4 linked regions of the Mytilus edulis genome follow. The protein of the gene in region 4 purifies or fractionates together with the protein of the main gene of each other region. This does not show direct contact. Links are inferred from orthologs where the notes say so. Each region holds a gene or a part of one and is shown on either strand. Other genes may lie near its edges. The genes, in order: U4/U6 small nuclear ribonucleoprotein Prp3-like, la-related protein 7-like, peptidyl-prolyl cis-trans isomerase H-like and squamous cell carcinoma antigen recognized by T-cells 3-like.

Evidence for each region.
Region 1: the proteins of squamous cell carcinoma antigen recognized by T-cells 3-like (region 4) and U4/U6 small nuclear ribonucleoprotein Prp3-like purify together in Homo sapiens (affinity purification with mass spectrometry; 5 studies listed by BioGRID and IntAct, counting the BioPlex papers as one, with this or other methods). This does not show direct contact. The link is inferred for Mytilus edulis from reciprocal best matches to the Homo sapiens genes SART3 and PRPF3.
Region 2: the proteins of squamous cell carcinoma antigen recognized by T-cells 3-like (region 4) and la-related protein 7-like purify together in Homo sapiens (affinity purification with mass spectrometry; 4 studies listed by BioGRID and IntAct, counting the BioPlex papers as one, with this or other methods). This does not show direct contact. The link is inferred for Mytilus edulis from reciprocal best matches to the Homo sapiens genes SART3 and LARP7.
Region 3: the proteins of squamous cell carcinoma antigen recognized by T-cells 3-like (region 4) and peptidyl-prolyl cis-trans isomerase H-like purify together in Homo sapiens (affinity purification with mass spectrometry; 3 studies listed by BioGRID and IntAct, with this or other methods). This does not show direct contact. The link is inferred for Mytilus edulis from reciprocal best matches to the Homo sapiens genes SART3 and PPIH.

What each region holds. Positions count from the first base shown.
Region 1 is NC_092354.1:9,891,548-9,899,458, reverse strand, and holds the start of U4/U6 small nuclear ribonucleoprotein Prp3-like, read right to left. Parts: upstream 3,021-7,911; 5' UTR 2,909-3,020; intron 1-2,908. UniProt on the Homo sapiens protein: Plays a role in pre-mRNA splicing as component of the U4/U6-U5 tri-snRNP complex that is involved in spliceosome assembly, and as component of the precatalytic spliceosome (spliceosome B complex).
Region 2 is NC_092352.1:62,371,129-62,378,377, reverse strand, and holds the start of la-related protein 7-like, read right to left. Parts: upstream 3,019-7,249; 5' UTR 2,944-3,018; intron 1,651-2,943; 5' UTR 1,647-1,650; coding exon 1,554-1,646; intron 1-1,553. Other genes in the region: uncharacterized protein, read left to right, coding at 3,415-3,583. UniProt on the Homo sapiens protein: RNA-binding protein that specifically binds distinct small nuclear RNA (snRNAs) and regulates their processing and function.
Region 3 is NC_092356.1:36,863,641-36,871,385, reverse strand, and holds the start of peptidyl-prolyl cis-trans isomerase H-like, read right to left. Parts: upstream 3,007-7,745; 5' UTR 2,967-3,006; coding exon 2,895-2,966; intron 1-2,894. Other genes in the region: solute carrier family 23 member 1-like, read left to right, coding at 4,101-4,430, 5,674-5,831, 6,882-6,997. UniProt on the Homo sapiens protein: PPIase that catalyzes the cis-trans isomerization of proline imidic peptide bonds in oligopeptides and may therefore assist protein folding. Participates in pre-mRNA splicing.
Region 4 is NC_092349.1:30,327,935-30,335,668, forward strand, and holds the start of squamous cell carcinoma antigen recognized by T-cells 3-like, read right to left. Parts: upstream 3,003-7,734; 5' UTR 2,962-3,002; coding exon 2,800-2,961; intron 1,009-2,799; coding exon 882-1,008; intron 1-881. UniProt on the Homo sapiens protein: U6 snRNP-binding protein that functions as a recycling factor of the splicing machinery. Promotes the initial reassembly of U4 and U6 snRNPs following their ejection from the spliceosome during its maturation.

The sequences.
Region 1 (7,911 bases), on a different chromosome or scaffold from region 4:
ACTAGGTTATTTTTCAAATCGTGTAAGTGCTGGTTTGACATTGTTGACCAAGTGTCAATTTGACTTTTGCTATATTTGTTCTATAGGTGTAAATTTGATGTGTACCAAATTAACCTTAACACCTGCCTAATATAATCAAAGTGCTTGAAAGCACTGAATGGTAAAGATTACTTCAATTTATCAGTGGGAAGTAAAATTAATTATTACATTGTTGTAGTTGATTTAAAAGCAATTCTAGACAAAGGAAAGAGAACACCAATTTAAAAAAAAATGATGTTAACAATGACATCATTCTTTTTTTATAACAGATATTAGATTCACAATTCATGCACTTTGCAAATGTTACATGTATATAATTTTCTTGACTAGTGTATCAATATTTTGTGCCTTGAATATCTGAGCATACATGTATATAATCATAAAGTTCTTGAAATGTTGACGGATAGGATGTATAGAATGTTTTTGATCATGTTGATCAATGCACTTGATTTTTTTGTATAAAAAAAAGTAGTGACAAGCCTTTGAACATTTAGATACATGTATCAAGTCAGTCCTATAAGGTTTTGATTGCATTTCATGCTATCTTTACCTAAAAATATACTGTTTATAATCTAACGACTTGTGCTTTTTCACAGATGTCAAAATTTAAATAACTTCAATTCACAAATAAGAATTTTCACTTAGGCGAGTCCATGAGTCGTGGACTCATAAAAATCTGTCTGGACACACCATTTTTAAAATTGGTGAGTCCAAAAAAAGATGAATAAAGAAATATTGTGTATAAACTGAACAAATGTATCCTCATTTTATACCCAAAGTTTAAAAGTAGTCTGAATTTAATGTTTTTTCATTACCCTATAAGGTCATAGAGACTAAAATAATAAATTATATTGCAATAATATATCTTCTTCTTACAATGGAACTCACCATGTCCAAAAATGACAAGTCCCTGCACTCGCCTTCAAAAATTCTTAGCAAGAACCCTGACAAATCCTATCCTCATCTCTCTAGAATGACACCAGGTCAACTGGGGCAGTTTATTCATAAAATCAAAATTGGAACTCCATATTTGATGTACACCATCCCTAAGTGATATTGTTGGCTTTTTTCAAAACTATCTCTACCTTTTTTTTATTGGGAAATATGCATCATTTTTATCAAATTGGGAAATTTATAATAAACCATAAATTTGACTGGAACTTCAAGTTGTAGATCCCCTTTCAAGAGGTAAACCCTCATTTGAAATAAGACCCCTTATTATCAGTGATGACACATAAATAGACCCTCAAATATGAATATATTGTCATTTTAGGCATAAAAAACGTATAAACATGATAAATGGGTGTATTTCAGTTTGTATTCATGCACAATTACTACTGACATTATTATGAAAAATAACTCTACAAATTCTGTGAAAAATTTGTCTTTTTGGGAATAATTTTTAGCCATTTTTTTTTCAAATTGGAATTCTTCTCCAGGGGAAAAAGCCTTTATTCTCCAGTAATTTAAGGCAAACAATATCACTGATTAGTCATTGGTATATGTGATAGATACATAACCAGCCATAACTTGCAGTCTTCACATTAAACCACATGTCCTACAGCCATGGCTTGTAAAATTGTTGTTGAGCTTGTGAAGTTCTTTTCTACAAGCCAACAGAATCCAACTAAAAATTTGGTAAAAATGAGTTTTGGGCTTGTGGATTCAAATGTTTATTGTGAAAACAGCATAAGCGACTGAGCTAGTGAAGTACTTCAATAGCTCAGTGGATATACATGCTCACTCAAGGCTCCTGGGTTCAAGTACCAGAGGAGACAAACATCAACGATAATTATATGGGGACGAAGTCCCAAATTACGGTAGAAAAATCAATAAAAAAAAAAAAAAAATCAAGAAAATTTCCTGAATTTTTCATTCTACTAATGAACTCAAAATCGTTAACTTTTTTTTCAGATCTACTTCCTGTTCCGGTTTTCTCCGCTTTTGCGCAGATATCTGTCTTGTTTGCATGAGACTTTGAAAAAAATTATATTTATCAGTCTAGTAAAATATAAGATTGGATCTCAATACCAATTCAATTTTAATAATTGTTTGATATGAAAAAACGTTACCTGATGAAAGCGTTTCTTTTGTGTACATCGAATATGACGTCATAACTTATAGAACGTCACAGCTAATTCCCTAACAACAGAATCAAAATCGGGAACGTTACGTACGGTATTTCGGTTTCTTTTATCAACGTGATTGAATTAAAAAATAATACATACAGTCTACAGACTTCGTCCCCATTCACAGGTTATGCCTGCCTCATATTAGAAAAAGAATCATGCTCTACAATTACATTGTTGCCCAACAATAAAATCATGGTTAAAAAAGAATAACCCTGCCAGGAAAGTTACATAAAATGAATATAGAGAAGTTCTTCTTGAGCATGTTGAGTTCAGTCAGTAAATACATTGTCTTGTATCACAGAGGTCCCTGAATAGTAAGTAAGTATTAAAGTAAGTAAGTAAAACTTTATTTGGATTCGGCATATTGACAAACAGTACAAACATAAGCTCTAAATATTATGAGCTTGAGTCCTAGGGAGACCAAGATGATTTTATATTCATTGTAAGGAGAAACATGTTTTCCGTTTACACATGAAAGGTACAATTATTACTAAAGTATTAACTCAAATTCTTATTGTATTTTGAATAAGAGTTATTTTTCATAATGATGTCAAATATAAAAATAATTGATGGCCATACAAAAAAAATGTAAAATATCAAATATACAGAAATTATTCCAAGGAAAACTTGTTACTGTGGTTTTCGTTTTACAAATATCAGCATTTGGATAGTTATTTATTTATATAGACTTCATTATTTCAACCTGAATTATATGATGCACTGACATGTTTACTTACAGTATTTTATATTTTTTAACAGTATTTTGGAAAAAAAGATCGTGTTATTATCGAAATGCTAGCCGATCCTTCTTGAAACGGACACGCTGATTGGTTGACAGGGATGTTTCGACCAATTGAAATTACTTACACAACAACAAACTATATAATAAATAAAACAACACGGAAAAGCAAGTTCCGGGATTTGCGCAAATTAATAAGGATAATGATGTTAGAAAATTAAAGAGAAAAGTAAACTTTATGAATAAAGTAAATTCATTATTTTTTATTAAATGTAAAGGGGGGGGGGGGGGGGGGGGCGGCGGTGTGTAACACTTATCAATTCAAAGTTTTAAAAAGTTTTGAAATCTTAGATTTTTGGAATTTTGATCAATGTTTTTAAAAAATATCAAAAATCCCAATTGTGTAAAAGTTTTGAAATTTTGAAATTTTAACCAAATAATTAAAATATTAAAATTCTAAATATCGTTTAAAAATTTGATAGTTTAGTAATTTGGTCAAACTTTCAAAATACTAAACCTAACGTGCAATTTTGATTATCTCACTTTCAGTTGAAAGTTTGATTTTTATATTTTTGATTAAGATATCAAAATAGAAAAGGGGCGAAAAGAGGGGTACTTATAAACTGTGAAACGAAATAGAAGCGTTTTCTTACGCTCAAATTGAGACTAAGAACAAATATTAGTAGCTTGGAGCCAAGATACTGTTATAAGGTATATATCAACATAACCTCATCATTGATAGATACCAGGTGTCCTGGTCCAGGACATGTGCGTAGCTACGTTTACGTCAAAAGGTCTCAAAACGTCCGGGCGTACTCTTGAATTTGTTAAAAAAAAATCATATAAATAGAAATAAAAGAATTGGTTAACAGTACATTAACCTTTTATGTCTCTCTCCAATGGCTTGCAAATGCGAATAAAAGTGACGAAAATTAGTATCATATTATTTCTGTCAAATTCTAAATCTACCGTTAATTCTATACTTATCTCCTTTATTTTTTTAAGCAATTCATTATGAGCTTGGATTCGATATGTGGTTTTCATTTCTTGTCGAGCCATTGACATTTATGTCGCGAAAGCGAGCTATTTTGATCGTAAATTTCGTCGGCGGTACCAAAATGATAACTATGTACACTCATGCAGGTTCATTATGTTCTTTTAGTTTTAAGATATATCAATAACTTTGTCAAACATTTGTGAAATTTTACGGTAGCTGGACAAAAACTGTGTATGCACAAACGAGTATCCAGAGCATAATATCGAAATTATACATATATGATAAGTTTTCCCATATTTTATAGAAAAAGAATAATTTCTTTTTGCACTTAGTCTAACGTTAAAATCAATTACATATCAATTACTTTGTTAAACCTTCGTCGAATTCAATTAAACTTCATTGAAGTGGTTTTTTTTCATGGTTAATTTCAGAAACCAATTTTTTTTTCGTTTATTTTTCAGATTTTTTTGCAATTTAAGTCAGACGATCTGGCCACCGTTAAATCACATATTCTAATGCAACAACGTTTGTAACGTTCATTTTGATTGGATAACGTCACTTTCTTACATGGCTTCAATTGACAATTGATGCTATGGGACGTACGCGCAAGCGCAGACGGCATATGGCAGAATTTAAATACATGTTTTAACGTTGTTTTCTGTCAGTTTCATTAGAATGGAGATAACAATATTGTATTTTAAGCTCCGACGGCATCAATTTGGGATTTGATGGTCGCAAATGCCCGTTTACTGTCTCCGCTAACGCGTCGCCAGTAAACTTAATTTGCGACCATCAAATCCCCAATTGATGCCGTCGGAGCTTAAAATACAATACAGTTATCTCCTAATTGCACAGAGAGGCAAGCTGTCAAATACTTGTAAGACCTAGTAACGCTGCTACATCAGATGCAGAAGCCATCGCTCTGCTATGTTCAATTTCAGATGAAAACATTTTATGAAAGAAGTCGAGAACACTTTTCTGCGATTGATCCATCTTGTTTTCATAAAGTAAAATAATCCTAAATGAAAGACCACGCATACTGCTTCGGTAATGAATGAAGGTTATCCACGGCTCCCTTTAATCATATTTAAGAATTGAATGCTTCTTTTTGTAAATTTATTGGGGTGTAAAAGCGTTGACCGAAGTACATTTTTTATTCCGCGCTTCATTCTAAAAATGTGTGCACGGTCAACGCTTTTACAACCCTATAAAGTTACAAAAAGAAGCATTCAATACTTATAATTACATTTTTTAGCTATGATCATGAAAACACGAATTTTATATATTTTTTTATTTAATTCACCTGTGCACTTTATTGTTGGACCACGTGTTATCATGAATGAAAAGTTGTATTGAGCATTGCAACTGCTTACGGAATAACACGTGATGTGCATGCAGTTAGCCAATCAGAATAAAGTATTATAATGAAACATACATCTAATGTAATTATTTTAAGGTAACTGGTTTGGACGTTTACTCCAAATTAAGCCAAAGACCGCCATTATCTTCTAAATAGATTTTAAACACAATGAATAGAATAAACATAGAAAATAAATTATTTTGAATCTAAAAAATGTTGTTATTGATGAGTTTTCAATGACAGGAATTTTATGACATTCTCGATAACTCTAAAACTTCCGGAGGCTTGTCCCGGCTTATCAACTTCCAGCAGGTTCTTTGGCATGGAACCGCTTTTCCGAGGTTCGGGCATACACGTAAAAATGATCTAGCTACGACACTGACAATCAACTTTGAGCAAAGTAAAGGAACACAGGTATGTCCAGTCAGAATGGGACATGATGCATGATGGATCTTTCCATTTTTGGCCATACACCAATGTTACTCTCGAAAAACCAGTACAATGTAAAATGCTGAATTTTAAGTCACCTACGGAAAGCTGCAACTAATTATTTGAAAGTCAAGTATTTATAAGAACCGAAACAATTGAAGAGGTGTTTGGCCAAAGTGAAGGTAAACGTAACAAAATCCATCTATAAGGGCTACTTTGCCCGAGAGAGTTGAATCCTAAGTTTCTTTGTAATTTGTATGTAAACAACCTATTTTGAATTATCGATTTTTGGTTTCCAGTGACAAATATTTCATGAATGTTCAGGAACAAATTAGCAATAAATACAACAGGAAGGGATTGTGCTTGTTATTCATTTGACGAAGACATAATATTTTGATTAGTTTGTTTGGAGTATGGAGCTGGCATGAGTCACTAACTTCTAGCTTTATATATAGTATATATATATAATTATATATTGTTAATTTATTATGATTGTCATTTTGAATAGTTTCTTTTGTTTCCTATTCTGACATGAACTTTGATTTCTTTTAAAATCCGTTTGACTGCGTATTGCTGCGTGTTTGTTTTTTGGTACATTGGCTAGAGGTATAGGGGGAGGGTTGTGATTTCACAAAACATGTTTAACCCCGCCGCATTTGTGCGCCTGTTCCAATTCAGGCGCCTTTTGCCTTTTTATTCTTGTATGATTTTAACTTTAATTCATTGTTATATTTCGGAGTTTAGTATTACGTCTATTATCACTGAACCATCACTGAACCATCACTGAACCTTCACTAAACCAGTACACTTTTATGTCTAGGGACCAGCTGAAGCACGCCCGCCCAGCACAACGTTCATTACGACACCATTAATAAAGTATTCCTTCCGCATCGTTAATTGGAACTGAAATCAATCATAAAAGGCAAAATATTATCATCATGTAAACAATAAAAAAGGAAACAAAACGTTTAAAGTTGCATGCGACCGAAGCGCTTTTTCTGGATCATCAGGAACGTCAAAAAGGCGAATAATACTATTTGGCCTATTGCAAGTTGATCAGTTTTCACTGTTACTTCTAAATTTTGGGCACTGGATACACCAACTATAGCTCTGAATTATTTATCTCAAACCCTTACCTTATATTAGAGATTTAAATCAACCTATTTGATGCTGGTTTAAATAAGTTTTTTTTTCAAAAGATGCACTACTTTGAAATTTCACGATACTATTATCCAATGTGATGCCTGACAATGCCTGATAGGTTTTATAAAAGAAAGACTTACTCTTTTAATTATTTATTTTCTAATTAAAAATGATTTGATATATATATTTCGTCCTAACTAAGAATGATTATAATCAGAGCCGTGTCTACAATTACCCCTCTTTTCGCCCCTTTTCTATTTTGATTTCTTAATAAAAATCAAACTTTCAAAAAGTGAAAAATTTAAAATTGCACGTTAGGTTTAGTATTTTTAAAGTTTGATCAAATTACTAAACTATCAAATTTATAAACGATATTTAGAATTTTAATATTTTAATAATTTGGTTAAAATTTCAAAATTTCAAAACTTTTACACAATTTGGATTTTTGATATTTTAAAACTTTGATCAAAATTCCAAAAATCTGAATTTTGAAAACTTGTTAAAACTTTGAATTGATAAGTGTTACACGGACCGGGGAGGGGGGGACTGAACACCCATTTGTGGGAATAATTTGTTTGACTATATAGGAAATCACTGAAGCATGACTGAAGAAAAGGGGCCCCCTGTTGGTCAGACAGTTGGCCTCCCTTATAAAAAGTTCTGAATCCGCCACTGATAACAAAACTTAGGGAACTGAGAAACAACTTTTATTTAAATTGGAAAGTTACATTTTTAATGAGAAAACGTTTTATATGATGAAAAAAATAACTGTTGATGTACCATGATGTATATAATTCATTTTGCACATGTTGCACTTGGTCACATATTTTTTTTGTAATTTTTTCATGGCAATACACATTTGAATTTATATAAACTTAAAAGCGTTGACCGATTCAAGTTTTTAGAAAAGACAAAGTACTGATCATGACATATAACTACAAAATAGCCGAATTAGTTTATCGTTGGATAGATGGTCACTTGGAATTGCATACATTGAAATGATGGAAAAATAAAGTTTGTCCCGGATTCCGGGAAAATAGCATCTATAATTCCCAAGTCTCTTTAAGGATGA
Region 2 (7,249 bases), on a different chromosome or scaffold from region 4:
AGGTGAGAGTAAAGATCTAAATCAAAGAGCAGATTGCTCTGAGGGATACAATTGCCATTATAAAATGTAATTTACGTAATCTGAATAGGTACAAAATAGCCAATCCACTGATCCAAGGAAATTAAATATTTAAAGAGTTAGGAATAAGGGTTCCTCCTAGAATTAAAGTAGGAAAATAGGTGATAAGATACGAAGTGAAATACCTTCTCTCACTCTGAGTCTCAGTGACTACTGTGGAAAGTAAACTTGGAATTGATGGTACAAAAACAAAACACATTAGGCCTAAGTACATTTTTCATACACTTGTATCCGGGATTGTCTATTTTGTAACTATTCAGATTACGTAAATTACATTTTACATGTGCAGTTGAACTAGTTTTGAAAATAATATCATCCAGCTACATGTATACATGTGTCAATGAAAACAATGGCAATCATATCCCTCAGAGCAATCTGCTCTTTGATTTAGAGCTTTACTCTCACCTATTTAATGATGGTTCTCTATTTCTTTATGGAAGTACAATATCAAATATCAGTTTCATAACGGTGACATATAAGAAAAACTCCACTTCAGTTCTTATGTGACAGAAATAGATTTATCGGCATTCAGAGAACTCTCGCATTTTTATCAAAACTGGTGAATTCCCTCTGACGTGTTTCTAAATTTATAAAAACACTAAATATAAATACTGCTTAATTCTTATTTTCCGTGTTGTTAAAAACATGCATATAAGTCAAGAGAAATATCAAACATGAAGATTATGAAAAGAACATTATAGGAAAGTTGTTTAAGTTCAATCCCTTTGTTTGTTTTTACCTTTTAAAGCAAGACAATCATAAGAATCTGAGATGTTCCTTAATGTTTAGAATAAAACAGTTGACATGAGGGCATGGCCCTGAGCCAATGGTATAAGTCTACAGATTGCTTAAAAGCAATCGTATCCCAAAAAAGTCCAACACATGTTCATGTCCAAGTACCAAGTCAGAAACCTTGTCTGTGGCTGATCTGGGACATGTGCTTAACATTTTTTTTTTATCCAACATATATAATATACAACAGTACAGTTATCAAATAGCAAGTAAATATATATATATATAAATGTAATATAATACAACTCATCAGAAAATGTATAGAACTTGAAAATAACATAATCAAAAGACACATGAAAGACATTAGTTGCCCATCAGAAGTCTTTTGTATTTTTTGTGTGTTCCATTGCTGCCTCATTGCCATATACCCCACCGTTCCTCATTATCCTAAACAAATAAACAGGACTGCAAGAACAACAATCAAGCCACATTAACTTAATTATTGGTCTACCACTGATAAAGATAATAGGGAAGGACAAAGTACTTATAACATTAGTTTAACCCTGTATGAGTGTTCATGAGTTTGTCCTAACATCATGAAGTAATTTATTTTGTCAAGTATTTTCAATTACTTTTATAAATGTTAACTTTTAATGTCTATCAAAACTTTGGTAGATATAATTATATATAATAACTACATTAACTCATTGGACCATTATGACCTTGAGACTTATTCAACAAACCTGTTGCTTGATACGACCATATAAAGCTTTCATTCTTTTCCTTGGCTTCTTGTCCTTTGTAGTCTCTTTATCTAATGTTTCTGTTCCTGCCATAACACTGCAAAAAATATTATAATTTACTATGAAATACAATTTTCACCTCACATCTTAATTCATACATTTTGTCTTTTTTGGTATATTTAACTGTGAACCCATTTTTTTCATCTATGATCTTAATAAATATGTGTATAAGAAGATGTGGTAATGCATGTTTAGGGGCCAGCAAACATGGCTAAGCCCTGCTCCAGGTGTTGGATTTTTTTGCTGTGTTGAACTTGTACATGTAGACCCATTTGTCATGTTTTTGGCCTTGGGTTGTTTCTTCTTTTTGGTCGGGTAGGGTAGTTGTCTCTTTGACACATTCCTCGTTTCCATTAATTTTATTGTTTCGAAAAAGGAACTACATCATTTTTGTACATCGTATTACTTAAAAAAAATCATTTTGTCATCAAGTGTGTATTTTAGATCTGCTGTGAATGATGTCTTGATTGAAAAAGTCATTTGGAATTCCATTCATGCTGCAATATCTCATTCTGTATTTTAAAAGGCTAAAGGCAGCTTGTATTGTATTACAATATACTCATCAACTGAAAGTTGGATCCACATAAACTCAGCAAGTTTTTATTTGAAGTTGCCTTGTTTGCGTTTTATATTTGAAAAAAACTTCATCTTTTCATAATATTTTACGAATACTCTATAACATTAATCAATATTGATACAAATTTTTATAAATGAATATGTTTTTTCATTTGTTTCTTCCCATTTGTTTGATGAAACATTATATTTTACTCCCTTCCATCAAGGAAAAAAACCAATTGTGGATGGATGAATTGATCCAAAATTCATGGATAAATTGTGGTGATGGGATCCACAGCCACAGCACCTTTATAAATAATGAGCACTGCCACCCAAAGCACCTGTTCAACACACAGAACTTGTGTGGTTCTCATTTGAAGGGGATAAAGATGTATATTTCACACATTCTATATATACATGATATATATTGTTTAAAACAATTTATGATGAAATGTAATGTGTAATTTAATTAATTACATTTTAAAAACTGTGTAATGTGTAATTAGTGTAATTCATATTTTTGCAATGTAATGAGTAATTTAATTAATTACATTCCAATGTAATTGACCCCAAGTCTGAACTTAAAGGTAAGGTAGTGGTCCCGAAACAAATTGTGGACGAACTGGTAATGAGGCCGAAACGTCTCAAAACGACAAAAGCTTCAAAAATACAGTCCTCTCATAACTCATCTACATTGCTATAGGGCACATGCACTGCAGTCATGAGTGGCAAAGTTTACTTAGAAAACTAATTCCACTTAATTAAGAGAATCTACCTTCTTTTAAATTTCCTTCTATAAAATAAAGGGAGCTAACTATACAAAACACGGAAATGTTACCCACTATTTTATTGGTTTAATTTTCAACTTTAACCAATCAACATCTATTTTATATCTCCTTACAGAGGTCTCTGGGGAACTCGATTCTCCTTTGCAGATTTAGCGGAATTTTCTAAAGTACAAATGTAGCTCACATTCAGTTTTACAAAGATTTTTATATTAGCATATGCTTCTTTTATGCATCATATACTTTAGTATTCTTATCAAAACCTTTAAATTTTCTATCCGGTTTACCTTGATTTTGTTTATCGCCGGTCAAACGACCGATATGCTGTTTTGGTCAGAATCGAGCCGGCCTAATAGAATTCCTGTAACTACATCAACTACACGATTTCCCCTACCACACAATTATAAATTATATATGGCATGATACGGAAGCTAGGTCATATGAAACGCACGTAAATTAGAATGACGTCAAAAAATGATGATTATCCCAAAGTTACGTATAATGAAGGAGTTTCTGCAAAACCAACTGGGACCTCGGAACACCAGCTTCTTATGCAGGCAATCAGTACAAATGCCGGACAATTAGTACAACAGCTTATTCAAAAGAATCCCCAGGTTGTCCATGAAAGAGGTTTGTTTAACACTTACATGGTTCACAAATTTCACTCAATGCATATAAATATTTCCAGAAGCACACAAACAAAGCTCCATATAAATTGGTCCTTGATTTGTTATTTTTAGCTCATAAATCCTTAAGCATTGTTCATCGTCCTCCTCGTCAAACCTGGGTAAACTATTTCAAACATCTTCTTTGAAATAACTGAACATTCAAACCAAATTTTAGCTGAAAGATCCAATAATATAGTTTGTGTTTTATTTTTCTGTATCGTCAAAAAACATCACCGCCATGGCTTGAAATAGAACATAGGGGTAAAATGCAGTGTTTTGCTTATATCATAAAAACCAAAGCATTTAGAGCAAATCTGACAACAGGTTAAGGTGTAAATTAGGTGAGTTAGGTTCTATATACATGATATATCAGTCAAGAAATTTTCAGATGAATCTAATAACCCATTGTTAGGTTGCTGCTACTAAATTGGTAATTTTAAGCAAATTTTGCAGTTTTTATATGACATTCTAATACATGAAATATGACATGCTTTTTTCGCTTTGTAAACAACAAGTGATAAGATTCTTGATATATCTATACTTAGCGCAGACTCAGAGATATACAGAATAATGGCAGTTACAATATACTTCCCATGTAAATCTACATGTATTGGAACCTATTTGCAGACTCTTTGCCGATTTTATTTTTTTAAAAATTGCAATAAAAAAAAGACAAAATAATTGTTATTCCTTTTCGGGTACATAATAAAAAGAAGTAATGAACAAGAGCTCTGAGAAATCAACAAAATAAAAATAAATTCCGCGAAAGTCTATTAATGCTTTTGGCGTATTTAATAATTTCAAAACAAGACGTCATACAAATGAAACCACTAGCGTTGAAAGTTTTCTGTTGCGTGAACCATTGAAATTTGTATGATATTGTATTAAAACTGATTTTTGGAAAGATTGGAACTTGTTCTTAATCTTTCCTTAGGCACTGGCCTCCCTAACAACATGACAGGTTTACTACTATTACTGCATGTATTCACACTGAAATATAGTTCCCTATAGTTCTCATGTATGTGCACATAATACACATATAAATTGTGAAAAATGGGTATATTTTTTGGAGCAGTTTATTCAAGAATGTATGTAATGAAGGTGTGTTGATGTGCAGGCTTTTTTTAAGCATTTTGATTAGGTAATTGAGTATTGATACAATACTAGTATGATTGACAACTGTCATTATCACCAAACATGGACAAGGTGGACCTTAAATTACAATGCCCCACCTCCTAAAATGTCAATCAAATTGACCACATTACTTATCAACATCAGTGTTACATAATTGTACAGACCCAATAAACATCTCAATACACAAATATTTGACCTCATAATTGAATACACAAATGTATATATTAGATGTTTGATATATAAGGATGATAGATTTATTTATTGCCTATTACTTTTGATCTACATTACATAAAGTGATTCTGTAAATTATGTCTGAAAGATAAATGATTAATTAAGGATTAACACAATCTTTTTAGATGTCCCCTTGAAGGATGGAACGGAAAATTTTGCTCTGCTGAAATTCGTTGAAAATGTCGTTTTAAGTTACAGCTGATTTTTATTCCTGCTTGAACCCTGCTGTTTATGCAATTTTCAGCAATACTGTTTTATTAATGTTCTTTTGTCCCCACCATACCTTAATATGAAATTATTCAAACTACTCTTCCAATCTTTCCACAGGTGCTATCCAGCACTTTGATTGAGGTAGGTTGTGTTTTATTTTCTATTCTATTGCATTATTCGCATTATTTACAGATTTCAGCAAGTCATCATGGTGACGAAATGTCAACTTAGGATTTGACGGAAGCTTATGAGAAAAACATGTAAATTAAAAATGGCAAATGTTGGGTTTGAGAAATAAAAGAATTTTTAAGCGGTCTCTGCGGTTATTCATGTAATAATCCATGATAGCTACAGATTTATTAGAATGTTTGAGCTTTATCTAACAGGAAGTAAAAAAGAACAGCCCGACACACTGCATATCCACCCTCGCTTCAGTTTTTTAATGACCGTATTTGTCCTATTAGAATTGAAATAATTCATGGAAGCCATAGATTGTTGGAATTTCACTTGGCCGCGATATCCGTCAATTTTATCCCTCGCTCAGGAATAAATTTCGAATATCATGGCCCAGGCCATGTGTAAATTTCCAACAATCAATGGCTTCCATGAATTTTTTCTTAAGCAAACATTTTTGCAGTTGTACATTGGTATCATGTTTTTGTCATCCGAAAACATTTGGTTTCCGTACAATAACTTTAGTATAAGTAAATAAAAAAATATATAAAATTTTAACACAAGGTTTATGACCACAAAAGAAAGGTTGGGATTGATTTTTGGGGTTAAAGTCCCAACAGTTTAGAAATAAGGGTCAAAAGGGGGCCCAAATTAGCATTTTTCTAGTTTCCAGACAATAACTTGTGGAATGGTGTATGGATCTCTCTGAAATTATACCACAAGATTCAATACCACAAAGGGATTGTAAGAATTGGCATTGGGATGCATATATGTTATGGCTTAAACCGTTGAGGAATTAGTTGCAAAAAGGGGTGAAACAAGGGTGTCCTTCTTAATGGACTATTACTGAAGTACAAACCCCCCAAAAAAGGGAGGTAATTCAAACACTACATGGTTGAATTACCTCCCTTACACTGCTTTTAAATTATGTATACAGAAATGTTGTATTGTCTTGAGGTAATAAGCTGTCAATTTTGTTTTAATTTAATTTTAGTGTATTGCACAAAAGCAAAAAAAATAATATTAATTCAAATCACTTAACCAATTCAAGTTCTTTGACTACAGTTTATATTCTGTGTCAGAAAACTATTGTGTGTCAAATATTTAATTTCAAGCCAAATTCAGACCTTTATCAAATGCGAAGATTGTGTCCATTATGTCCCATCTTTTCAGGACCTCTGCGGTTGTATCCAGCTGCACTTGTCGAAGCAATTTATTTGCAATGATGGTTATTACTTGAATATTATTAATGATATAAAGAAATGATAAAGAAAAACTGTGAACAGCAAAAATGTTCATCAAAGTGAGATCTACAAATAAGTTCTTTAACCAAAATTGTCAAGGAGTTATTGCCCTTTAAGAACAATTTTACACAATTTGTTGATTATGTTTTCTAACTTTAAAAAATCTTCTCCTTTGAAACTATAGAACCAATGCCAACTAAAGTAAAGCTGAATGACCCTAAGGGTATCTAGAATCAATTGTGTTTTTTATTTTCTTGTACTTATATGGCTGCCATGGCTAAAAATAGGCCATAGTGGTAAACTGCAGTTTTTGGGGAAAGGCAGCTTCAAGCCTTCAATCCCCTATGTGGTTGACCAGACGGAGATTGATGAGAAGGAGACACACAAATGAATAGATGGACTTTAAACACTTTTTTTTTACACATTTCCCTTCTGTTTCTCGTGAAATTATTGTATCTTGAGCTCTCCTTTACACTATTTACGTTTCTTTTACAATCCAGAAAAATCAGTATGACGAGATATTCTAAATATATCCAACCTACATTATGTTTATTAGAGACGTCATTGTTGGAATGCCACACTATGTAGCAGCAGGGATATCCTTCACTGGTTATTTAAATCAGAGTTTGTGCACC
Region 3 (7,745 bases), on a different chromosome or scaffold from region 4:
CGTTCTTCCAGTTTTTTATTTTCTCACAACTTATATAAACTGCAACTGGTGTCACTAGTTGGACAGTAACTTATTACCTTTCTAGATCCCATATGATAACCCTACAGTTTAGTTGGGGTAGGCGTGGTCCGGTTAAGTGTTTAGATTTTTATGTGAAATTTAGGTGCTGTAAGGAAGTTTTGCCAGTACTTTCACCCATTTGCCAGACCTACTTTTTAAAAAAAAATAATAAGTAGTTCCCAGATTTGAGATATACCTTTCACTTTACAACTGATTTAGTTTTTGACGTAACCCTGTGTTTATCTATCTAGCAATGTTCTCGTTAAGGTATGCAAACACGCACGTGTGTTTGATGGATGCTTCATAAAAACACTAGCTGAGTTTTGTTATTATCATAACTTTCCCTAAGCTATCAAAAAGAAAGAAGATGAAAACATGCGGACATTTACTTTCGTTTTAAATCATTGTATGTTATGATAAGTCCCGAGCAATTCGAAAAACTTCTATTTTTAGAACGATAGAATTTTTCCAATTATAAATATTATAAAATAGATTTACGCTACGACTGTGATCAGATAAGGTTAAATAACACAAATGATAGCGAGTAAAAGCGTTAAAAACTCATGGTTTTGGCATATAATTGGGTTTTCCTTTGAATTAATTGGGTTATTGAACCCTGCAATGGGCAATTGCATTGGGTTTTTAATAATTTTTATTGCGTGATCACGCAAATATGCAGCTTATCTGGAGCTCTGAGATACTCTATGTTTTTATACAATTCCTTGTTTTCATATCCGGTGTTTGGTATCTATTGTTATTTTGATCCTTGGAACCATAATTTAAGACAAGCAACTGGTATTTAAAGTTTGTTCTATTATTGTGATGTCACATCCCTGTCCAAGGTTAGAGGAAAAATGAGAGCCTACAAAAATATGGTTAACCCCACCGCTTCTCTATCATTTCTATGTGCTTGTTCTATGTCAAAAACCTGTAGTCATGGTACTTCAGTGGTTGTAGATAGCTCATAGTCTGGCATAGTTGTTTTTCATAAATGGTTCTGTTATAAATTAGGCTGTTAGTTTTCTCATTTGAATTGTTTCCATTTTCATGTTCATGATGTTAGTGCCTTTTTAAAATTTTATAGTCTATACTTTAGTACTTACAAATGTAGTACAGATCAAACTATCATTAAATATAAATATAGAGGTTTGTAATTTTTTTCTTTGAATTAGATTCGTCATAACACAGTCAGGGGTACTACTTATACAAGTGTATTTTATTTACTTGAAGAAGTAAAAAAAAATATACACATATAAGTAAATTTGTAGGATACTTATACAAGTGAATTTTATTTACTTGTATAGGTAAAAAAAAAATTGGCTTAGTTATGTCCCTTAGGCATTCAGAATTTTTTACTTGTATAAGTAAAAAAATCATCCTTTCTTCTTTTCTTGAATTCTTAAGATTTCTTTGCTCTAATAGAATTTTAAATTGTGTACCCTTTACAGATGTCTTTACTAATCATTTAAGTGTAATTTCATGGACAATGAAAGTCCCATTTGTTTGTTATCTTCTTAACACTGCTCATTTACAAGCCCCAAAGGAGCAATTTTTGAAGGCCTTGCGCAAATATACAAGATCTTTGCTCAATCAGTTTCTTTGATGAATTAATGAGATGAAACATTGATCTTTAATGAAAAAAATTGAGCAAACCTGGGAAAAAATTTTAAAGGCATGATTTTACATCTCAAAACTTGAGGATATTTGTTGGATTGTAAGAAAAATTTACTTATACAAGTAAATTTTTCAGAAAATTAAGGGGAGATTATTCAAACATTATTTATTTACTTATATGTGTATATTTTTTTTCACTTCTTTAAGTAAATAAAATACACTTGTACAAGTAGTACCCCTGACTGTAACAAATGGACAAATATGGCCGTATTTACACCTCAAACACTACTCTTGTGTACAGACTTACCTGTGCTGTTTGGAAGTTTTTAATGCCTGGCATCCACTAGATATTTAAGATTTAGACGCATTTTGTGATTCAGAAAAATAAATCATTCCTGGATTTTGATGGGCATTTTTTTCCCTTCCTGCAGAAGGTGTAAAAAAACCACCTGAATTGCATTTGATACTGTCCACTCAATTACACCCTTTAACTCACCTATAGTTGTGTAGATTTCTATTGTCCATGACAATCAATTTAAATAAAAAAAAGAGTTGTTTATACCTGAGAGGGAACATCTCCAAGTTGTAAAATCACTTCGTTTATTTTTATACCTTGTGCAGGAATGAAAAAAAATGCCCATTAAAACACAAAAAAAAGATTTAATCTTTCTGAAATGAAAAATGCATTTAATTTTCATATATCTATATAGTGGATGCCAGGCATTAAAACATTTCCAACTGGACAGGTAAGTCTGTACACAGAGTAGTTTTTGAGGTGTAAATATAATACAGCCATATAATATTTGTTATGATAAACTAAGATTATAGTCATAGTGTGAAAATGCTCATATTTTGAATACTAATAACTGTGATAGTTGTCTCCTTGGCAATCATACTTCAAGTTCATCCCCTATAAATGCTAACAGCAAAGCCAAAGAACAAGAATCATAAATGAAAACCTCAAATGTTTAAGCCTGAAAAAGGATACATTAAACAAAGAGTAATCCATGACACGTCTATGCATATAAAGAGTGCCCATTCACCTCCCCGTGTTATTTTTTGTTGTTTTAGAACACCGCCTCCATAAAAAAATTCCGCCAAAATAAGTTTTACCCCCCCCCCCCCTTTTTTTTCTAAAATCGTCACTATGTTCTATTTAAACCATAACATGTCGGTCGCGTGTAATTGTGTATTGAAGATATTCAAATGATCATACGTACTGTGTTTCCAATGGAAATATCAAAGAAAACAACGGGATTGTTAGTGTTATTTGGTTTTTCTGAATACGACATGTTGTCGGCTTTTTATTATCTCCCTTTACGTACTTTTAAGTTGGGTAAAGCTAAGTTAAATCAGACGGACTTCCGTATAATTGAAATTTACACACGCTTTTTTTTTTTACTTAAACAAATATGAGTAGAAAAAAAGGGAGTGTATAAGAATTGTTCAATTCACATAAAAAATAGTAATATAAGCATATATATAGAAGTATTAAACTTGACTTGTACAACCCAAGGTAGCCTGGTATTATTTTTTTTCTTTTTCAACATTTGGCTGTGTTACTGTACATTCACTATCTTCTTCTCTTCTCTTCTTTTGTTACAGAAAACCATCAACGTACTGATGTTTACTTTCCGGCGCATGCTATAGATTCACTATAAAGTCTACATGTTATCTTTTCTTATTGTAAAATGGTCGTAATGGTAAGATAAATCAGTTTGACACAAAACACCTTATTCAGATTTTCTTTATCTAAACAAAAGCTTATTTTAATACCAGGAACAAAAGTATAATTAGATATAGCCTACTGTTCCCATTACAAACATAGACAAACTAACATAGTATATGTCTTCGCTACTAATGACCGACTATAGCTAACATTCAGGCTAGGTCTGCATGCCCCAAAAGTATTGACAGATAAATTTCAGCTATTTTATTATCAAACTGATGGCGATACATGATCATAGATTCAAATACCATCCATATACCCGTTACGTACGTGGTCTGTGTAACGTGACCGTTTTCTTAAGGCAGAGAGATTTTAAAATTGTATCAATGAAATATTACTATAGTGATTTTGAAACTAGTTAAAACATGGTGGCTTTACTCGTGCCACGGCATTTTAATCTAAACAAAATCATATTGCATTTATAGCCACTCCTAATTTGCAGCCAACATACAGGTTCAAAATCGGTGCACTAAATTACCATAACCATATACTAGTAAACAAATCATGGCTTAACATGCTTAAAGTCAACCTAGATTTGGCCTTGATCTATGCATAATGTAGAAAAAATATTCACTATCACTCCTTGATAACTTGAGTCACGGCTACCACCGAAAACAAATATACAGTAAGAAGTGTTAATAATGGTATTTGATCTTACATAAGGTAAATAAGCATACACTATATATTGTCATTCAAAATGACATCAAAGAATGACTTATTCAATGATGATGTCCATACAATAGATAATGGAATGATAATGAACAGTGAAGGAATTGCACCAATCTATAAGACTCAGAATAAAGACACAGAGGCGTTAAAAAATGAGGAACTCCAAATGACCAAAGAGCGGTCAATAGAGAACTGTGATTCAGAAAACCAAGAAGAGTACTGTCTTATTCATTCAAATCTAAAGGAAAAGAAAGACCCTGAATCTGACTCTGTTGTGATAGAAGACCAATCAGCTAAATTGTTGTATAAAGTAAGCGACAGACCGGCTTTGCAGTCCACCCTTTTCTTTGCTTTTCAGGTGAGAATCTTTATATAGTTCGATTATCTTAATATCCATTTCTATATATAGTATAACTATTATAATTATATTTAAATGAATAGCTCTAAATTTAAAATGCCTGAGCCTATACTCATTGTGCATATAATTGTACAGAGTATATATATTCCGAAATGATATTTATCTGATAAATTGTGAACATTTTCCCTGTCAATACTTTTTCCGTATCAATTTTGTTACTTTTTCTGCAATGGTTTATTGTTTTGCGACTATATATATTTCCGTTTTGGCCATGTGGTGTGGTTTACATTTTTTTCTATGTAAATTTGTGCTGTTGTGTGTCTAAAGTTTTCAACATCTGGTTTACCTGCATGGCACATGTAACTTTAATGCAGGTACAAGTTCAGTCAACAATGGTATAAAGTTTGGAAATAACAATTGTATGAAGTTTGGGAATAACAAATGTATTTATTTTGGAAATAATAATTGTAGTCTGAATTCGAACAGTATTGAACACTAAAGAGTTTGTTTTAAAACATATCAGAAAACAAAACCGGTACCGTATTGCTGTGACCATGATGCAGTATTGTTGTGACCTTCAATCATATTGTTTCATCTGTGATGCTAGTATTGGATATATATTCGTGGTCACAGAAGTTTAAGTTCAATTACCTTGAAAAAAGTTTATATCACAGAATGAGATTTAATTAACATACCTCGTCCTATATTTTCACCAAATCCTGCTGTGAATTTGGAACGACATTAACGGATAACAAATCAAGACCACTGTTGTGCTGGACAGTTTCATTTTTTCTATATAAAGATAGTAAAAAAATTAACTACACATGAATCATTTTGTGGGGAAAAATGAAAATAGACTTATCTGAATTAAGAATTCAGTGAGTCGGATCTATCAATACTCGTTTTGCGAGCATGTTTAAATCAAAGGGTAGCTATATGTAAATTAACTAACTAAAGATTGAAACTAAGCTTCTTATCTTAATTATCTGCAAAATCAAGAGACACTTTTTTCAGGAAAATACTATGTTTTACTTAAATTGTGTAGTCCGCATGCTTCTTTGTGCACTCTACTAAAAGACAAAGAGCAAATTTTATATCTGTACAAAAGTAAAGTGGATGAATTCAGGTTAAATCATTGCAATTTTGTGACGTGATGGTGAATTTTCTTGGATTCACGTAAACAGACCGAAGTCATTTTCGGACATCATCATATATCATCTTTTAGCTTTGGTTGTATTTTTAGAACACACTGTTGGCATTGCCATGGAATCTGACACTTGTAATATTGGTAGCAGAGGTAACTTGTGCTCGGGATGATGACGAATTGAAAGCTAGATTATTATCAACTACAATTTTATTGAGTGGTTTGACAACATTTGTACAAGTTACATTTGGTGTAAGGTAATAAGCTGAATGTACCCGTAATGGATCGTTTACGCAAAGTATCAATAGTATGTAGTCAATCTATTTAGGACGAGTTCCAATTTATTCTTGTGTGTTCGGCATATAGAGACAATACCCCTACTGTATATGGTTAAAAACCTTCAACAAAGACCTGGTACCAATACCCATACAGTATATTGTAACATCCTACAACTAATACCAATATACTCACAACGTATATGGTACCAATCTTTAACAAGACCAAAAAACCATATTGTATATGACAATTACAACCTACAACATAATGGACCCATTCCAAAACTTTTTAACAATCTAATTATTCGGAAATGGGTTCATCGATGATGCGATTTCGGTTATTGTGATTTATTATGCTTGTTCCTTTATACACATTATATGTTATTCAGGTCTCAGACAGGGTATATACTGTGACATTCCCGGCTTAGAGTTTATATCCCCTGAGCCGAAGGCGAAGGGGATATAAGCCCTAAGCCGGGAATGTCACAGTATATACCCTTTCTGAGACCTGAATTACACATATATTACGGATTATACCTGACTTAATGTTATTTTCCAGCGCAGGTATTTGTTGACAACACATATATATTGAAAAACCTGACCTGATATGTTCGGCATACGTGAAGGATTTTCTAATTTGCTGTGAACATAATTTATCGTGTATGTAATAATTTATAATAACACTTTTAACATTAAATTTAAGTATTAAAAGTGTAAATTGCGTGATTTTGTATCAAAAATGTATTATTGACTGAAGCATGTCATTATTTTCCCTCTGTGAGCCTCTGACAGTCTGAAAGCTTTTGACTGCGTCACATAGTAACCGGTGTTATGATGACGTTTTTGAGGTTCCAATTGGGGATAAAAACGTCGTATATACCCCGGCAGTTTCCTGAATATATACTGACATCTCTGTGTTGTTATCCAATCACAAACCTCGACACATTTGTAATCCGTAATATATTCTGATATCTACCTCTATTGCTTTCCACTTTTGATGGATTCAATTATCATTACTGATTACACTTTCAGAATGCCTGTATATCAAGGACCAACCACAGCCTACATTATACCGCTACTAGCTATAACAAACCTAGAAGAGTGGAAATGTAACTCAGATCACAATAGTTTTCTGAACAACACAGGCGGTAGGTTATTTTTCTCCATCGAAAGGTAAACTTGGAGAATTTAATGCATGAACTTTTAATTTTTACTTGCAACGAATACGGGTGCCTTTTTTTGGACTGCAGGAGGTTTAACTCTACTTTAGATCTAAATTGATTGTTATTGCTTCTGCTTCTATATATAAGTTTGCATTGTGTTTTTTTTTACTCTTTTAGTTTTAAATGGCTGTTTTAGTTTTCAAAGGCTGTGTTATTGACTTCGTCCTGAAAACCCATGCCATAGAATCTGAAAAATAGTCACACAGATACAGAGCGAGTAATTGTGTCTGCCACTTGAAAAATAGTTTTTTCAATATACAGGCTCAAAACTGCCATGCAGATCTATCTTTTACACTCATGGACGCATTTGAACACCAGACCGGACGTGGCTGAGTACAGTATTAAAACATCCCTCATTATATAATTTGTTATCACTTTTAATATAGATTCTAAAAAGTGGTTACACCCATAAAAACTATGTTTTGTCAATAACTTGGTTTATATCAGGTTAATTAGTGTAAATGTGTATTCATGTGGTTTTTTGTTTAAATGTACTTTAATCATTTTCTGTGCTTTATTTTGTAATTCATTTGATTGTATAGCTCAAATTTTGGGCACCATGATTGGTTAATAAAATTATCTATCTATCTATCTATCTATCTATCTATCTATCTATGTCTTTACTATATATAAGTTTGTCTTAAATTGATATCTATGCATTGGGTGTTTCAAA
Region 4 (7,734 bases):
TTTTGAGATATAAGCCAAAAACTGCATTTGACCCCTATGTTCTATTTTAAGTAACGGCGGCCATGTTTTTTGACGGATCAAAAATCAAAGCACACACTTTGTGCAGGATAATCTAAGGAACAACCATGCTAAGTTTTAACCAAATCCATTCAGTAGTTTCAGAGGAGAAGATTTTTTAAAGTTAGCAAATATGATGAACAAATTGTGAAAAATTGTCATTAAAGGACAATAACCCCTTAAGGGGTCAATTGACAATTTTGGTCATATTAACTTATTTGTAGATCTTACTTTGCTGATCTTTTTTGCTGTTTACAGTTTATCTTTATCTATAATAATATTCAAGATAATGACCAAAAACTGCAAAATTTCCTTAAAATTACCAATTAAGTGGCAGCAACCCAACAATGGTTTGTTTGATTCATCTGAAAATTTCAGGGCTGATAGATCTTGACCTAATGAACATTTTTACCCCATGTCAGATTTGCTCTAAATGCTTTCGTTTTTGAGATATAAGCCAAAAACTGCATTTGACCCCTATGTTCTATTTTAAGTAACGGCGGCCATGTTTTTTGACGGATCAAAAATCGAAGCGCACATTTTGTGCAGGATATACTAAGGAACAATCATGTTAAGTTTCATTCAAATCCATTCAGTAGTTTCAGAGGAGAAGATGTTTGAAAAATTGTTAACGACGACAGACGACGACGACGACGACGACGACGACGACGTCGACGACGACGGACGCCAAGTGATGAGAAAAGCTCACATGGCCTTTTAGGCCAGGTGAGCTAAAAATGATTGAGAGAACTCTGTATTTATCCATCAATGAAAATCATTTTCATTTGTCAATAAAATGTGAACAACTTAGACTCCTCGCATACCTTCTGCCAAGGGAAATAATTCACTCATTCGTTGTCTGGCATCTCTAAGCTGTTCTAACTCTCCAAGTTGTTTTAATAACTTAATTAAATCTATGTGAACATCATACAGGTATGGGTTCTTTGATATCTGAAAAATAGACTACACATTTAATTACAGAACAGGGCAAAAAAGTTTTGGATGAAAATATAAATATTTCAAGAATGAAAAACTTCAAAAAGGAATATTGCACAGTGGAACTGTTTATTCGATGCAACACCATCGTGCATTTCCGATTAATAATCTTTACTAATTTTGCAAGATTTGGTGACATATATATATATTTGATTACAGGTTAATGGAATTAGTAAAAAGTTTCGATGCTTACTGACTAGTGAGCGAAGTATGCCTAATATTGCAGTTATATTCAGAAGAATTGTTTTAAGTCGATACAAAAATTGGTGTAATTGGTAAAGTACTGTTTTTAATTTAATTCAATATAATCATTATCCTGATTATAATGACTAGTTTTAAATCAAATCATTAGATTATTTATATTTGGTTTGATTATTCAACATTTTCCTGATGATTATGCTAAAGTATCATTAATAATAATTAACTTTTGAGTTTGTCTGTCACCAGAAAAAAATTGTCAATTATGTGCTCCTTTATGACGTCATTTACCAGATAGTGTGCAATTTAGCTTTATAGTTTTCCAAACATTCTCTAAACATTGAAACAGAAGTGACGACGCCCCTAAATGCAGACATGATGTTTATTAAAAACAAAGTTTTTGATGGAAATGCATTGAACTCAAAAGTTGTCTATTTAATCAAAATCATGAGTGACAAGATCTTTATAGTTTGATCTTTAGTAATTTAATTTATTGTAATGGTGGTCACTTTGTTTACTTATCTATTTGGGGAAATTGGTTAACTTTATAATTACTTATAGTTCCGTAACTCTTTCTTCCGAGACCGGCCATGAAATTATCCTTGTCGGGACTTCCTGTTCTAGCACGTGCCCGGCCGGGCTCGTTGTCCATAGGAACTATACGCATATGACGTCACTCACCGGGTTCGGGACAGTCTACACTAAGGATTTGAAATGAGCAGACGCTCATATCGTTTGGCTTTCAAATATGGAACCTTTATTTATACAAGTAGACTAGCCACCACCGTATATTTATTCATTGTAAACTGTGCTTAATCTATTTGGCTGAGATTAAATCTATATTATGAGTAACGTATTCTGTTTTCTAATATTCCCTGAACTCGGGAAACTTCCACTCCCGTTACATTATAATCAAAAAAATGTCTTATCTATTCATAATCATGATAATGAAAATATTCCTCAAGAGATAGCTTTTTCGACTGTCAAGCTTTCATTTTATTACAAAATTCAAAAACATAAACAGCTTTATTTTTTAATGCTTAATACAAATATTTTTTGTTTTAGGAGGGATTGACTTTAGATGGATCATCTTGAGACGGAACAACTTGGGACAGATTGACTTTGGCTGGATCGACTTGGGGATAGAATGATATGAAAACAAAATATCTGACGCTGCAATGGAGAAGTGCTCGTTGTATGATGTCAATACACCATATCGCTAATCCTGGCTGACCCGGCCGCTTGAACTTTTGACGCATACAACAATCACTTTTTCATTGTGGCGTCAGACATTTTGTTTTATGACGTCAAAATTTTACGGGAACCTGTGTGATATCCAGCAATGGCTGACAAATGGCGATAAGGTGTATAGTTCCACCACACAGATTCTTAATATTCGACCGGTGCAGATTTCGAAATAGCGATATAATGTATTTGTTATGGGGTTTATTATGTGAGTTTGGACCTCTTTCAATACCAATAGTAAAGTCTACTAAAGATCAGTAGAGTAAGGCTTTGGCTTCAGTTTTTGCTATAAAAGTAAATGACCTGTTTCTGAAGTTCTGCAACCTGTCTCTCCGATTCCTCATTTTCGCTGTCAGAGTCATTGGAATCTGAATCTTTCTCGCATTCCATTTCTACATCTGCCTTTTCATCGTCGTCACTATCTTGCATTTCTTTATTATTTTCGTTTGAAGTAGAGACCTCCATTGCGTTTAAAATACGAACTAAGGGAGGTAATTGTGAAAAATGCTATAACCAAGGAAGCAGATACGGTATCGGGTCCTTTGTTCGTTTGTTATCTTTCACGTTTACGTTATTAGTATGCAAAGATTATTTAACGAAAAGAAAAAGAAAAAGTTGTACATGAATGCATAAAAAGGAAGATTCGTGACAAAAATATGTTTGATTAATATTTTTTTGGCAGGGATATTGGAAATCTTAGTCTAACTTGAATTAACTAAATTTAACTATTTTCGTGGGTATCTATTTTAGTGGATGGAGGAAAACTTGCATTTTCGTGGGTATCTATTTTAGTAGATGGAAGAAAACTTGCATTTTCGTGGGTATCTATTTTATTGGATGGAGGAAAACTAGCATTTTCGTGGGTATCTATTTTAGTAGATGGAGGAAAACTAACATTTTTGTGGGTATCTATTTTAGTAGATGGAGGAAAACTAGTATTTTCGTGGGTATCTATTTTAGTAGATGGAGGAAAACTTGCATTTCCGGAGTGAGTATTTGATTTCATGGTTTTGCCAATCTCTACATACAAAGCATATAGAACATTTGTTATTCGTTGAACATTTTAATTCGTGGTTCACACACATGTACTATCGAAACAAACACAAAAATTGGTATCCAACGAATAATAATGACTCCACAGTACCAGTAATTTATTGGCTTGCCGGTATCATGGGCAAAACAAAGGAATCTTGTGGGGAGGTATTTTTTAAAACTTTATTATCCAAACTGTGGAAGAGCTGGATAGCTCCATATCTGTATGCAGAAGTCTTGTGGTTTTTCGTCTGATATTTTGTCCTAATTTTGAGGGTCAATAACCAGGGTGTTTATATAGTAGTTTTTATATGTTATATTTTTGGTATTTTAATTAATTGCAAGGTATATATGTCCTTCATACAATGATAACATCAGTGGTCTAGCTTTTGTTAGCGTGTTCACTCAAGTTGGAACCCTGGCATGTCAAAACTGGTGTTTGCTGCTGCTCTTCTTGTGGATTGAAAAAAGCAGGGTTCATATATTCATATAGCCAATACTCTTGGAATATGAAAATGCTTCAAGCTGAATGCAATGCTCTTAAAATATGCCAATGCTTCAAGCTGAAACCACAATTCTTCAAGCTGAAACCAATGCTTCAAGCTGAAACCACAATGCTTCAAGCTGAAACCACAATGCTTCAAGCTGAAACCACAATGATTCAAGCTGAAACCACAATGCTTTAAGCTGAAACCAATGCTTCTAGATGATGCCACAATGCTTCAAGCTGAAACCAATGCTTCTAGATGATGCCACAATGATTCTAGCTGAAGCCAATGCTCCTAAAGTTTGCTAGTGTATCAACTACAGTCAAAGCTTTTAAAATATGCCAATTAATACAAATACAAAACGACTATTTTATTGGCGCAAACTCATTAACAAATAATGGTTAAGACCTATTGTATACATATAATTATATTAATTGACATGGTAGAGTGAAAAGTTACATGATAACATATCATGATAGAATGAAAAGTTACATATTGATTTATCATATCAGTACACTATTTCTTATATTTAGATATTCTGATATGAAAGAGAAAGACAGTCTAATAATGCTGAGCTTATTATTGATATCAGTGGTAATGTAAGTGGGTCTCATTGGGGTCTAAGCGTGACGCGGGATTGCCGATTTTTTGTAAGCGTGACACGTGAAAGTCAAATTATTGTGGCGTGAAAACGGGAAATTAGGTCTTGCGGGACCCGGGAAATGAAAAAAAAATGAGAATTGCTTATGTACATAGTGTAAGCGGGATACGGGAATCTGACAAAACAGTAAGCGGGATCCGGGATCGGAACCCCCCAATGAGACCCCCATGTAACGCTGTATTTAGATAACTTTTATTTTATTTTCTAATATTTCTCGTTTTGAGGTAAATCTATGACATTGTCAATAAACTTAAATTGATGCTCTGAAGGTAACACGATACCGAATGGCATATCTCCCGATTTCCAAACTTTTTGGCACATGTGTTCTTTGAATTGAGTTATATCGGAATATGTAATAAAAAATGGGGGTCACCATTTTTGTTTTCTTGGTATTTTCATAGGAAAACGTCAATTTTGGCGACAAATTTACCTAGGTATATAGGGGAAATGCCTTTTTTTCGGCTTAACTTTTTAGATTTTCCAATGGATGGCTATGTTCTTATATACGGAGAAAAACAAAAAACTAACATAATATCCAGAATTGCATACTGAATCCATACACGTATAGAAACTCATATGTCACCATCCTTGTTTTTGAGATAAATGGCTTCAAAGTTGATTGATATCATTAGAATTGGACCGAAAACGTGTGACGTTATTGAATACAGAATGTAACGTTACGGTATTACTACTCAGAGATATTGAAAACAAAATATGTGTCGGGATCTGAATGGTGTTTATTTTATTTTTTATTTCCGCTGTCGGGTTTCGTTAATTTCCTAGTAATGAAATACACAATTCTGCTGATATAATTTATTTCGTTCTGCACCTGGAAATTTCACTCACATGAATTACCCATTAATCTCGTCTGATTTTCATAACGAGCATATACTTGAAACTTGCTTGAACTGGTTGGTTCCACGTGAATCATGCATAAATCAGGTACACGTTGAATTCACGTAAATTTTCAAAATAAGATTGTTAAAAAATTTAATTAAAATCATGAAAAATACCTTCATATTTTTGTAAAGTTCACGTGAAAATAACATGAAAAATTTCACGTGGGATTCATTTGAATTACTGAGTTTTTAACTCCATCATTTAAGACAATGGTGGTGTCGTTGCTTCATCCATGCAGAAATAGAGTACTTTAAAAAATTTGATTCAGTTAACAGTTTTATAATTGATCGGTTTTTATAGTTTTATAATTGGTCTAAATAATTTCCCCCAATATAGCATTTCTTTATATTTTTTTTCATAAAGGAGCCTGTAATTCAGGTGGTTGTCGTTTGTTTATGTGTTACATATTTGTTTTTCGTTCATTTATTTTTTACATAAATAAGGCCGTTAGTTTTCTCGTTTGAATTGATTTACATTGTCTTATCGGGGCCTTTTATAGCTGACTATGCGGTATCAGTGTATATAAAGTGTGAATCCAGCTAGTTCATTTTCACTGTCATATGCGGGTATGTCTATTGTAGAATAAAGGATCATGGGAAAACTGTATTTGTTTACGTTTTGAAAATACCAAATTAATTGATTTGAAGGAAAGTTTTTACATATTTTCATTGTGATATGTCTTTATTATGTACAAACATAGCATTAAAGTTCAAATAAGTGTTATAAAAGCAACATAAGCGATCCATGCCAAGAAATTGCCTCTGTTGAAATTTTGCAAACATCCCATAGAGCAAATTACATGGATGATTATTATTAACCATTTGGTATGTGGCCGTGTTCTAAGCGACACGTACATGCAGGTCATAAATTAATTTGTTGAATGAAATCCAATCTTTAAACTACTAATAGGTGCCGCAGGAGGTCAACCAGAATTTTTAGCGAGGATTTCTTGGCATGTAACAGATGAGGGCCCTCATGGGGTTTTTGATTATGTGATTACTTGGCCGTTTTTTTAATGATTATTTGATTATTAAGCCAAATATTTCATGATTATTTGATTACCTAGGACTGTATTTTTAGTTTATGATTATTTGATTACTAAAGATAAGCAAATATTTAATGATTATGTGATTATATTGGCAAAAAAATGGTGATTATGTGATTACTAGGACCCCCCCATGAGGGGCCTCACAGATAGAAAACTCAGGGTAAGAATTTATAGAGCAGACAAGGTGCAGTGGCAAATATTTCATGTATATTATGAACACAGAGAAGATAACCCCGGCACCCTTTGCCAAAAAAAAAAAATCTTTTTCATCCATGTGCCTTTAGACTTTATGTTTTGAATTGTAGTTTCACTTTCCATATTCGGTATTCATTCTAATGTAAGCTCCACGTGGCAAAAATCACGTGATGCAGGAATATTGTATCTTGGAGTTAGGCTATTTCTTTCTTTTCGGGCGGGGACTCCAAGCAGACAACATGCATGTTTTATAACGCAACTGTATATTTTTCTTATTAAATGAAGAAAGTTGCCGGTCCAGTACAAGGATAGATCGGTTAGAAAGCAAGGTTTTAATTTTAATTAGAGTGGAAAGCTTAATTTGAGAGTTAAAATCGGAGAGGACGAAAAAAAAGGGGGGCGGGTTCTTCCACAGGGAATATTTTTATCTTAGGAACTCTACATTAGAAAGTTTTTTTTAATTATTTATTTAAAAAAAAAAGAAAGGGAAAAACAATTGTATGGCAAATTGTGAAGGTTCTTTCTTCCTTTCTCCCGTGCGGCTATCTCGCATATATCTGGTTTACCGTCAAACCGAGCGCATGCATGTCTTTTTGGTTGTTTCTGTCACTAGGTGGCTGTATCATTGACGTTTATCCCATATTTTCATATTGAAGCACAATGCACACGTAAATATTGTTTTAGAACATGAATTTAAAGTTTCATGTCATGCATACTAAAGTAAAGAAAAGCAAAAAAGCGACTCAAAGAACTAAATAGAAAAAGACGAAATGATCTGATTTTCTGTACCTCAATTTTTTTTAACTGAAACAAAAAAAAAATGTCTTCACTGGGAACTCTCGAGCTGAAACCTACACTCTTCAGGTTAGCAGGGACAATACTCTGTCTTTAATTTTGTCATTTTTGCGCATTGG